3 linked regions of the Solanum lycopersicum genome follow. Each later gene encodes a partner of the first gene's protein in a complex. Links are inferred from orthologs where the notes say so. Each region holds a gene or a part of one and is shown on either strand. Other genes may lie near its edges. The genes, in order: serine/arginine-rich splicing factor SR45, serine/arginine-rich splicing factor SR34A and splicing factor U2af small subunit B.

What was found.
Region 2: serine/arginine-rich splicing factor SR45 (region 1) and serine/arginine-rich splicing factor SR34A share a complex: the UniProt entries of both Arabidopsis thaliana proteins name them as parts of the spliceosome. The link is inferred for Solanum lycopersicum from reciprocal best matches to the Arabidopsis thaliana genes SR45 and SR34a.
Region 3: serine/arginine-rich splicing factor SR45 (region 1) and splicing factor U2af small subunit B share a complex: the UniProt entries of both Arabidopsis thaliana proteins name them as parts of the spliceosome. The link is inferred for Solanum lycopersicum from reciprocal best matches to the Arabidopsis thaliana genes SR45 and ATU2AF35A.

Annotation. Positions count from the first base shown.
Region 1 is NC_090809.1:751,279-755,375, forward strand, and holds the start of serine/arginine-rich splicing factor SR45, read right to left. Parts: upstream 2,857-4,097; 5' UTR 2,757-2,856; coding exon 2,524-2,756; intron 1,342-2,523; coding exon 1,267-1,341; intron 776-1,266; coding exon 687-775; intron 1-686. UniProt on the Arabidopsis thaliana protein: Involved in 5' and 3' splicing site selection of introns, and may bridge the 5' and 3' components of the spliceosome. Isoform 1 is required during flower petal development and isoform 2 is involved in root growth.
Region 2 is NC_090802.1:49,075,781-49,080,148, forward strand, and holds the start of serine/arginine-rich splicing factor SR34A, read right to left. Parts: upstream 2,830-4,368; 5' UTR 2,646-2,829; intron 1,173-2,645; 5' UTR 806-1,172; intron 662-805; 5' UTR 631-661; coding exon 544-630; intron 1-543. UniProt on the Arabidopsis thaliana protein: Probably involved in intron recognition and spliceosome assembly.
Region 3 is NC_090810.1:58,042,195-58,046,407, reverse strand, and holds the start of splicing factor U2af small subunit B, read right to left. Parts: upstream 2,813-4,213; 5' UTR 2,631-2,812; coding exon 2,394-2,630; intron 395-2,393; coding exon 308-394; intron 228-307; coding exon 146-227; intron 1-145. UniProt on the Arabidopsis thaliana protein: Necessary for the splicing of pre-mRNA. Probably active at the 3' splice sites.

The sequences.
Region 1 (4,097 bases):
TAAAATTTTAGATGTGATCAAATACGATAGAATTCCAGCTATCATTATGCACCTGTTCCATTTTGTACCCTATCTTCTATAATTGTTATTAAGCATGGTATTTACCAATTGCTTAAAGTTACAAATAGTCTATAGTCATGGTTAATAACCACAACCAACTCTCTTCTCTTGATCTCCTAAATAACAATTAGCAAGATTTGATTGAATTATTATTTGTACCAATCTCTGTGGAGACGATCTTTATGCTATACTATCTTTGACTAGTGAAGCGCTAGATCTATAGTTCTTTTTTTTTTTTGAGAACATGAAGCGCTAAATCTATAGTGTGTTTGTGCTCGTCAACTAACTCATAATAACAGGATTAGACTAGAACGTCTGACATATAACCAGGCTAAATAAACAGAATAAATAGAATCTATAACCAAAAGGTTGGACCATTTCACAGTAATGAACTAGAAGTTGGCGTTCAATTCTTTGGTTTTAGACTCTTCACTTGTTGAAGTACCAAATACCAAACCGAATTTCAGTTCTGTTAGGTTCTTCTGTATGGACCTGATATAATGGGCTATTTACCCTGGACGGGCTGTTGGGTTATCAGTTGACAGTTACAACCCTAGCTTAGTGTAGAATTTCTACAACTCAGGCAAAATAAACTTCACCTAATCAAAAAGAAGTGCAGAACATACCAAATATTTCTTTCAAATGGTTTTCATTGACATTCCTGCTGAGTTGATCCACATGAATTACACGCGACTCAGGTATAGGAGATACTTTCCTGGAATCAGATCCCAAGTGTTACACATCAAAAAGCCTATCAATGCATATGTCAGAAGTGCTACATGCAGTAACATTTTTGCATCATCAGAAGATATTGGTATTAGTAACTATCTTTATCAACTGCATCCAAAATGGATGTGATGCATAACTGAATGTTGCACCAACAGCACGCATGTCTGAGTAATTGGGATGGAAAGGAATTGAAGAGCATTCGAAATCATTTATGAACAATCGTGTCCAGCTGCAATGCATTCTCCAAAAAAAGATCTGATAAATGCAACTGAGTCCACATTCAAAATAGCTCACAATAACCCAGCACCCTACTGTATGTTAATTTCATTTGGAAGAGGAGAAAAACAAACCAAGAAAAGAAAGGTATCCCCCCCCCCAAAAAAAACAGAAATTTGGATGTTATTGGAAGAGGTTTATAAGTAGTTATTCAATGAATAAACCAAAGTCGAATCTCAGCTTAAAAACAAACAACATTACCTTGGAGGTGGAGAAGCTTTCTTAGACTCTGGTGGTGGTGGCGGCGAGCGGCCTCGCTTAGATACTCCAGCAGGGCTAACAAAACCATATAAACAATAAAGGATAGGGTTTAGGATCATTCAGAAATAGGACGATTGGTGAAGTACTTTAGCTATTTTGCAAGATAGAAAACTAATAGAACAGCAACATTTCAAGAAATTTTCATGCTAGTCCAACCTGTCTAAGCTCAATAACAAATAAACAAAAATATATGACGACAAAAAAGAGGCCAATCTTCAAGATTAACCATAGTATATCTTGTTTCCAGTTTTCTATTCCAGTCATGTGCCTACCTCAACTTCTCCACAAGCAAGTACCTGCTACCTCACGTATCGGATGACTCTGTCTATCAATACTTAGATATCTAGCTTAGACAGATGGAAAGAAATAAATAACATAATGTCTTTTGTCTCTGTTGGATTTGAAACTTGGTCTCCAAGATTTTCGCCCACTTCTTTCACCACTGTGTTACACCCTTGAGTTGTGTTTCCAACTCTATTTTATACAGTCGCGGAGGATTGAAATCAGTTTCTTGTTGTCTAAATGGAAGAAAGGCAAGAAAAGCAAAACCGATGCAACCAATATTCTAGTTTTGCTACTTGCATGTTGGAATAACTTAAGAAAAGCAGCAGGAAATGCCATAAATTATCAAATATAAGCTATCTGCACTTGCAGAAGCGAAGTGCAGCAGAGAATTATGTCACATGGCCCAGGAATTAGAGGACACAGCTTAACACTCTTCAGACAGTGGAAAGGTATGGAACAACTATGAATTACATAGCAAAAATAGCCTCTTGACCTATATAATGTTTGAGATGCAAAACTACAGAACATATATCCATTCTATATCTAACCAGACGACAATCAGACTCAGATTCAGCAACTAGCAATTTTAATGCGACTTGGTGCTACTTGTGCCCGACTCTACTTCAACCATAAGACTTTTCTATGTCATAAACCTCGCAAATCTAACATAATTCAAGCAGCCATAAGCACATTAACCAACAGCAGCAACTACTTCACCTCAATTCAAAGAAGTTAAAGCATATTTGGGCTTATTTCTCCTCTATAGTTTGCAAGTTAACTCTCCGACATCAGACATTCTGATGGCATACGAATCTCAAACTACCAGTATCACGTAATAAAAAAGAAAAAGCGGGAAATTACTACAGAAATGCATTATGCAACTAATACACATTTGAAAGAGAGAGTAAAAACCTTTTTCGTTGAGATGGAGGGCGACGACTAGGGCTGCGAGAACTTGCACTCCGGGAAGCAGAGGAAGATGAAGAAATTGATCTGGAGCGGGATCTAGATCGAGATGGAGAACGCGAACTTGAGGAGCGAGAGTTTGAAGGAGTGTAAGAGCGAGACCGGGAACGGGAACGAGACCGGGAACGAGAAGACGAGCCTGACGGTGAAGCCGCACGGCCTCGACCTGGTTTCGCCATTGGCAACAGCTTACTCCGAAACCCCAGTGATAAACCCTAATAACAGAGAACTGTCGACAGAGTACATTTGGGCAAAAAGGTTATCAGCTTCTAGCCCCGAAAAACAAATGGGCCGAAGTGGGCTGTATCCCCAAAGAGTATTCACTGGGACTTACGAGTCGTTTGATAGAGTATACATTGATCGTTTAGTAAAATATTTTGTAATAATTGGATTAGTAATATTTAGATATTGTAATAATTGGATTAGTAATATTTAGATATATTTTTAATTATAATTTGATTAAATATACTAACAGCAATTCTGTTCTTAATCATGTTTATTTATGTATAAATAGTTTTTGTATAACTAATACGATAATTTACTACTTTCTCTATTTCAAAAAAAATGTCCCTGTTTCTTTTTTAGTCTGTTTCAAAAAGAATAACCCCTTTCCTTTTTTAGTAACACTTTAATTTTAACTTTTCACGTGGTATATTTAAAACCACAAGATTAAAGGGCATTTTGATACATTTGACATAATTTTAATTTAGAATCACAACATTAAATTTTTTTTTTCTTAAACTCCGTTCCTAGTTAAAGGCCTTTTTTTTTAAAACAGAAAGAGTATTATTTAGTTATATACCATATAATACTAAATAACATAGATCAATCATACATAAACTTAAAACCATACTAAATAAAGAATTATTAATTAACAAATGACTATACACATACTAAATTTCCTAATACACTTGCCATTTTGATTTTCTAATTCTAGTTCGTACACATTTAGACAAATTATTTGTTTGCATTTGGACTAATACCACTTTAATAATGTTGCGCATATCTCGATCAATAATTATCAACTATATTCATTAAGATTTGAACAGATAGAAAAAAAATTTGATTTGAACATGAAACTTCAAAGTAAAGGTTAATGTATACAACAAGTAATATAAAGTCGAAGAGTTTGAGATAGTTGAGAGACTTTTTTTTGAGGAAATGACATCCTAAAAAGGATGTAATTTGAGCTATAGGAAACCATTACTTAATGCCAGCCACCACACAGCAAATTATGGCTCACAACAAAGATCAGTAAACTAGCCATTATATATACATTGTTTCCTTAATGTGGACTATGTATGACATACAGATAACAATCAAAGCAGGGACAGCAACAAGAGGCAATGACTCGAATGTCCTTACTCTGGTTGAGCGAAAATGAACAAGGTCTTAACACCACGCGTACTTTAGGCTTATAACAGATGAAGCTCACGAAGTTCAGAAGTAGTATAATCAAAGCACATACAGAGCTGTACAAGTATATTTCTCGTAGAGAAGTTCCCGTATCAGCTCAAACA
Region 2 (4,368 bases), on another chromosome or scaffold:
TCCTCAATCGGGTAAACAGAATACTAGTGGTATTGAGCACCACTGCCTAAAGCCTAGAGTAGCAAGTATGGAAGAAAGACCGAATCTAAAATAGGAAAAATAAGAGGCAAGGAGCATGCAGTGCAAGATACCAGAGAAGAAGCCTCCCTCACCATCAAACTTTGTTTTCAACCACAACCTAATATTGATACTAGTACTGCAACAGATTCTCTTATGAAACTACACTTAGGCTTTCTTGTTCTAAAATTTCACATATAAGAGGCAAATCAAAAAAATCCATTATACAGATGGCATTGTAATGAAACTCAGGGAACAAGCATATCTAGGAATGCATTCATCTGCAATATAATCTCGGGTGAGGCTGTTTGTTTTTTTTTTTATAATGATGCGAGGCTGTTGTTTTTTTGTTGTTTACAAGTATAACTTATGCATTGAAGGTTGAATCCAGAGCCCTAGGAGATAATTACGATTGATAATAACTAACTTCTCCACAAGAAAATAAGCCTTTGCAGCTAAGTGTTTAAATAAGTGAATGTGACAGACCTTGTAGAACAGATCTTCAACTTCCAGTTCCTTTATATCTGCTGGTAGGTTGCCAACGTAGATTGAGCGTGAAAAGCGGCCACTCATTCTCAGCAATGAAGGGAGGATTCACAGAAAACTGCAAACAGATGTAACTTATAAACAATTTTCATGATTCCACTAAACACTGAAGAGAAATAATTAAACAATTATGGATAAATTTATATCATTCTGTATTTGACTTGATGATAACAGAATCGAGCAGAAAAATTCTGAAGCAAACCAAGAGAGCAATCCTTCAATTGAGCTGTACTCCACAAGCTCCATTGCTCAAATGCTCCATGATGCTCCAAAATTATAGATTCAAACAGAAAAATTATGAAACCAAGAGAAATATCCCAAGTTAAGCTAATGCTCCACAAGCTCCATTGCTCATATGCTCCAAGATGCTCCACAAGCAAAAATTATTTGAACTAATATTTGATCTCCTCATCCACTCAAAATTTTTGCAGATGATAGCTCTTCTGAGAGTGAGGAAGAACCTCCAACTATACATAAAACCCAAATACTCCACCCTGACTTGTCCCACTCCCCCAAATACATCCCTATGTATGATTCCAAAGCTCATTTTTGTTCCAAGCGCTTGAAATCTATCATAAAGAAAGCATTTATGTCATAAGATGAGGTGAGATCGCGACATACTAATGCATTTTCCCTTTTCTTAATTATTTTAAAGATCACTGAGAAATTATCCTACAAGGCATGCAATATATACCTTTCCTGTTTAAGTTTAACATAAAACCAGTTTAGTGCAACTGATGTTATTTCCCTTAACCTAAGATTCGATAAGATCTCTAAGTCACCAATTCTCAAAAAGAAAAAGATTTTTAGGTTACCAATGGTCAGTAAAACATTGTTTGAACTTTGAACTGTGGAGACTACAAAGATGCGAATTGGATATGAAGCAGCATATTTTCAGCAAAAAAGAATTTACTTTGGCAGATCATCGTCCAAATAGTTTTTCAATATATGGTTGGATTAAAAACAGGATCATATGGCGATCATTAAACGCGCTAGGATTGAATTTATAGATTCTGAATTTTACAAAAGGCATCCGCATCTTCTAAAAGGGTTCTAGATAAATTATTTATTTATTTTGAGAATGAAGAGAATGGAATCGGGATAAATTTATTTTCTTTTTGATGAACATGGTGTCCTGGCCAGCTTTCTCGCACCTCGACTAATTCCACGGATAACTGCCACCCCCACCAGCAACAAGTAACAGGTACCGGTAACTCTGTCCACCAAGGCTAGATAAATAATGCATACATATTAAAAGAAAATTTGAATATAAAGTACATGATGTGGGCCAAACCTACCAAACCCGTCAACTGTAATGTGGCTCCACCCCGGCAATCATAAAAGATGGAGGATGGTATTTTGCTGAGATATTTGTATATTAAAGTTGACAACGAACCTTATGTGTTGGATGAATCAAGTGATACAGAGTGAGATTCAGAATATTCGTAATGGAAAATGACGTAAGTTGTTTTCACCCTTTTGGTGGTGAATTTTCAACCATTGAGGAAATAAACATTGGAGAACGATTCAATGAGTAAAAAAACTATTCCATAAAATATTCTCTGCCATACCAAGAATACCGAATTTTCTTATTACACGATTAGAAATTCATCTTTTTATTCCACTATTGCTAGTATTTTCTTCCAGATATGATGGTTGCAGCTCTCTGAAGGGAAAAACGCTATTGAAGTAAGAATTTCACTGATAAAAAAAAAACTATCACACTGTTATGTAACACAAGAAACATCACAAATATGACCCATAAAAGTTCGATCTTTTCTAGCAAAAGCCAACGAACAATGAGAAGCAACACCCAGGCTAAAACAAACCCTGGGATTACGAAATGAACCCATTTCTGCCACAAACAGAAAACGATCAATTCGCAACACAGAACATCCAGAAAATACAGAAATAGCTAAATTCGGTAAGATTTTTACAGATGCGTAACTAGGGTTTCTTCCACCCTCGACCCTTCTTAGAAATTAACAAATGTGCCCTTATCTTAGAACAGAGCTGTGAGAAAAAAATCTTCTAAATATTACCTGGAATTTCAATTAGGGCTCGGCGAAATTCAGATGAAATTGATGTTCAACTTCTTCTCCGGTTCTTGTCGGGTTCTCTCTCCTGGTGCTGTGCTGCACTTCTTCCAGAGAGTTCTTAATTTTAGGGCTTTTTTCTGGTTATAAAACCCAACAGAGTAGGATCTGTTCCCTTGATTTTTATTTTAGCTCTTTTTAACCCTTCAGCTTTGATTTATTTACACAAGTTCCCATTTGGAATCTCAGTTTTCTCTGTGCAAAAATCAAATCGATCGATAAATTAAAATTAAAAAATATATTATTGATTGGTTATTATTGTGTTATTTATTAGATTGACAGTTTTCTAATGGTATAATAAAAAAAAATATTGATTTATCGGATTAATTTTGATTTTTGAATATTGGATTATTTGATAAATTAATAACTCATAAGACTACAGTAATTTACTATTTTATCGTACATAAAATATTAAATATTAATATCAATGCATCACTAGTTAGTACTCTCTCGGTCAATATTTAGTTGTCCAGTTTAAAAATGACACACATATTAAGAAAATAATTCATGACGTAATGAATTTATCATTTTACCCCTATTAATTATGAAGTGGATAAAAAAAAATTACACTTTTCAAATTAATTAGTCATTTCATTGAGGTATAGATAAAAAAAAATGTTCATTCTTGATTTGTCAAACTGGATAAGTAATTAGGAATAGCTATAAAATAAAACGTGGACAAATAATTAGGACAAGAGAATAGTTACTATCTTTGTCATTTTGCATTCTATTTACTCTTGAGAGTGATTTTGAATGGACAACTTCACATTATACAAAACGTCAAAATCTAAAGTAAATTTCTTTCCTCTTAACTTCTCTTTGTATTACACTTGTATAATCTTTTCATGTTAGTTGTTATTGTTTATATTTTATGAGCATTTAACAAGTTACATTATTGTTAAAGAAGTCATATTTGTTTTACAAGCATTTTTTATTGGTTAAATCGAATACTCAGCCGTTAAGGATCAAAACTGATAAATCGTAAAACGAAGTTGGTTTTAGCATATCTAAAATCGATAAAATCAAATTGATAATACATAAAATTGAATTGAATCGACCAATACACACGTTGTTTGATAGGATGTATTATAAAAATAATGCATGAATTAGCTTTGTGTATATTAAATATCTTGTTTGGGTATAATTTTCACTTTTTGTGTACTTTATTTAGTAATATGTTATGCATAATTAATAATTTCTTCCTTCAATCTTGTCCAGTGTACTAAAAATAGATGTCGCGATACTTGTCCACTTTATATAATCCTTGAATCATTTTACATATAGTTTTTAAGTTATCCTTATTATCAATTGTAATTATTTTCCTATAACATTTTTTCAAGACATTGTTATATTCAAAGGGTGGTATAGTAAAATTGTCTTTCTATTTATAGTTTCTTTATAGGTGTGCCAAGTCAATAGTACACAACTATCGTTGGACAGACAGAGTACATAATGAATTGTGTCAGTTACGCAAGAATTTATGATGAATGTACTAGCATGGTTAAATATATAATTGTCTCTCAAAATTTTTTACACATTCTTTTCATTGTATTATTGACGGTATTTGTGTAACCAAATAATTACTTTTAGAAATCATGCGATTCATATTATTTTTAGTACATCAAAATAAACAATATATTAGTAAATGGTCTTAGTCATAACTAATATC
Region 3 (4,213 bases), on another chromosome or scaffold:
ATTGAACACTCTTGGTTGTATGTAGTTATGAACCTGGTCCAGATAATAAAATTCATACATGACACGTTCTTTCACCATTTTGAATTCTTTTGTCCTCTATTCAAATATTTTATCACTGATATGGTTTGAAAGAATAGAAACTTACCGGCATAGAATCTCCCAGTAAGATTCTTCAGTGCATTTGCAGCCTGCTCTTCCTCACTAAACTGAACATAAACATTACCAACCTGCACAGGGTACATTAATACATAGTTGAAACCCCCAGTCACAGTCAATGGATGACTACAAGAAAGCACAAAAAACCTACCATGTGATCAGCCAGATTGTCACAAATATTCAGGCTCTCAATCTCTCCATACTTGTTCAGTTCTTCAAACAAGTCTTCATAAAAATCCTGCCACAGTACCATACAAGTCATATCTCAAATATCCAATTGGTTACATCTCATATATTTTCTAAGAACACAAAGTGCAAAGCTATTTGCTAACTACTACGCCCTTCATCCCAAAATAAGTAATACCTTAGCAAAAAACTATTTCAGGGTGGAGGGAGCATTATGGACCACTAAAAAGCAATGCCCTGCTTCAATTCCAATTCAACATAAAGCTTACTCAAAAGAAGCAATCATATCATAAAACATGTCAAATCCAAGATCATTCCTTAATCCTTACTATAATACCTACAAGAACGATCTTTTTACATGGAACACACAAATGGTCGCAACAATGATCAATATATAAAATAGAAGACACAACTAGGTATACCTTGAAAGAAGCAATTATATCATAGAGCATGTCATATCCAAGATCATTCCTTGCTAAAAAACCCACAACAACGGCTTTTTACACGGAACAAACAAATAGTGGCCATAATGATCGATAAAGCACAAGGACCTAACTGGGTATACCTAAAAATAACCAGTCATATTTCATACCATAGAACATGTCAAATCATGGATCATTATAATACCTCTACACAACAGTCTTTTCTTTCATGAAATGCACAAATAGTGGCAACTATGACCAATAAAATAGACAAGTAACGAAGAAAAAACAATTGGGCATACCTCAAAAGAAGCAGTCAATATCACAAAACACACAAAATTCCCGACCATGCATACTACAATATCTTTCACAAAATTCCATTTTTTTCCATGAATTGCACAAATACTAGCAAGAATGACCAATAAAACAGACAAGTAAAGCAGAACTTAACTGGCTAAATCTTGAAGGGAAGCAATCATATCATATAACATATCAAATTCATGATCATTCCTTACTATAATTCCTACAACAACAGGTTTCTTTTACACGGAACACAGAAATAGTGGCAACAATGATCAATAAGACAGAAGAACTTAACTGGGTACACCTCAAAGTAAAGCAATCATATCATAAAACATATCAAATCCATGATCATTTTACACGAAACACACAAATAGTGGCAATAATGATCGATAAAACAGAAGCACCTAACTAGTTACCAGTTTCAACCACAAAAAAAAAAAGAAAAAAGAAGCATCTAACTGGGTATACCCCAAAAGAAGCAATCATATCATAAAATATGTCGAATCACGGATCATTCATACTATAATACCTCTACAATAACAGTCTCTTTTTTTCATGAAGCACACATATATAGAGGCAACAATGACCCAATAAAACAGACAAGTAAAGCAGAAGAACTTAACTACCTTCTAAAGAAGCAATCATATCATATGACACACAAAATTCATTATCACTCATACTAAAACACCTAAAACAAAGGTCTTTTTCCTGAAATAAGCAAATTGTAGCAACAATAATCAATAAAATAGACAAGTAAATCAGAAATAAACCATTTGGGTATACCTCCAGAAGAAGCAATTGTATCATACAACATATCAAATGCACTATCATTCCTTACTATAATACCAACAGTAGTCAATACAATAGACAAGTAAAATCAGAAAAAACTAACTGGGTATACCTCAAAAAGAAGCAATCATCTCATAAAACACAAAACACCTAAAGCAAAGTTCTTTATTTATGAAACAAACAAAATGTAGCAACAACAGACAAGTAAAGCAGAAAAACCTAACTGGGTATACCTCAAAAAGAAGCAATCATATCATAAAACATGTCAATCCAGGCAACATGATGGGCATGAAAAGCAGAAAAAACTAATTGGGTATACCTCAAAAAGAAGCAACCATATCATAAAACACACAAAACTCATCTATGGTTCATACTAAAACACCTAAAACAAAGGTCTTTTTTCATGAAACAAACAAATTGTAGCAACAAAGCAGAAAAAACTAACTGGGTATATCCCAAAAGAAGCAATCATATCATAAACCATGTCAAATCGTAACAAAAACAGTAATTTACAGCAGAATTACTTAATGGGTATACCTCAAAATGTTCCTGGATTTTGCGAGGATCAATAGGATTGCCTTGAGCATCAACACCAGGGGTAATTGAATCAGGTCTTTGATACATATTTGAGAGGAGAATCGTCGGACTAATACTGGGTTTCGTGTGGAGCCTGGAACATCGATCTCCATGTCTACAAGCACCGATCTTGAAGTAGAAAGGGCAATTCACTCTATCTTTTTCGGTACCGAAAATTGAAGCTAAGTGTTCTGCCATTACCAATTTGAGATTCTGGAAAGTTCTCTTCTTCTGGAATTGTAGAGAAGAAGAAGATGAAGATGAAGATGAAGAGGGACTATATACGATGAAGAAGCTTCTAGATAATTCTACACAAAATTTGTGATTAGATAAATTGAGAGTGAAATTTGTAAATGTTCAGGTGGTTTGCCCGAGTGGTTAAGGGGGAAGACTTAAGATCTTCTGCACATAAGTGCGCGTGGGTTCGAACCCCACAGCCACCATATCCTTTTTTTTTAATTTTTCCGCTGAGTACGACAACATTCGATGGTTTTAGGTCGTTGGAATACGTAAAAGCTACTCCTTTTATGTTACGTTTTATATTCGCCCCTCACCCCATGGTCACCATACCTTTTTTTCATCTTTTCGGTGGGCAATGAGAAATCAGTGATGGAGTACGTAAAAGTTATTGCTTTTTATGTTACGTTTTATATTCGACCCCATGGTCACCATACCTTTTTTTTTGTTTCTCTGGTGAGCACGACGACATTCAATGGGTTCAAGTCGTTGGACGAGAAGCCAGTGTTGGAGTACGTAAAAGCTACTTCTTTTTTTTTATTATATTGAATAGATTGATTAGTGTATAACTTTTTTTTTATTTCTCGACATTCATTGAGTTCAGGTCATTGGATGAGAAGTTAATGTTTGAGTATGCAAATTTTGTTATGTTTTATATAGAGCAATCTTCACATATAGCAAACACAAAATCCATATTTGTATGCTATAGTAAAATTTGTATAATTGTGCTCCATAGAAAACATAATATTTTATATTTCGTTATACATATATAATTCACTATACATATACAATGAAATCGATTGTATAATTTGCTATACATAAACAAAAGAAAGCAGTTATACACAAATCAATTGTATAATTTGTGTATGTTTAAAACGAGAAAGACAAAAGAAAATTAGGCAGTGGAATATTTGTATTGTATAATTATCAGTGTATATAGGATGAATATATATGTATTTGCATGTGTATATACAATTTTCTCTCGCTTTTACAAACAGAAACACAATTTATACATTTCATTTCTATTTGTATAAGCGATAGAGGCGAGGGTGGCGAGCGAGATCTGGGAGAGGGTAACAAAAATATATGTATATATACAATTTTTTCTCGTTTTATACAAACACAAACGTATTTTATATACTTGTGTTTGTATAAAAAAGTGAGAGGAGCGAGCGAGAGATGAAGCAAGAGAGGGAGAGTGGCGAGCGAGAGTTTGAAGAAAAGAAGTAACCGACAAACAGTTTGTTACATGCACAATAAAAATCAAAATGTGATTGTATCATTACATATAATTTAATAATTTGTCATTATGTATAATTTTCTCATTTATATATTAGATAGACCAATTAATGTATAACTTTTATTATTTCTCTACCAACAACAACATCCGATGAGTTCAGATCATTATACAAGAAGTCGATGTTGGAGTATATAAAAGCTACTCCTCTTTGGTTTTTACTTTTTCTAAATTGAATCAAACGATTAACGTATAACGCGATTAATAAATGATGCGACGGTTCGATTTCTTATTATGACATTTGATG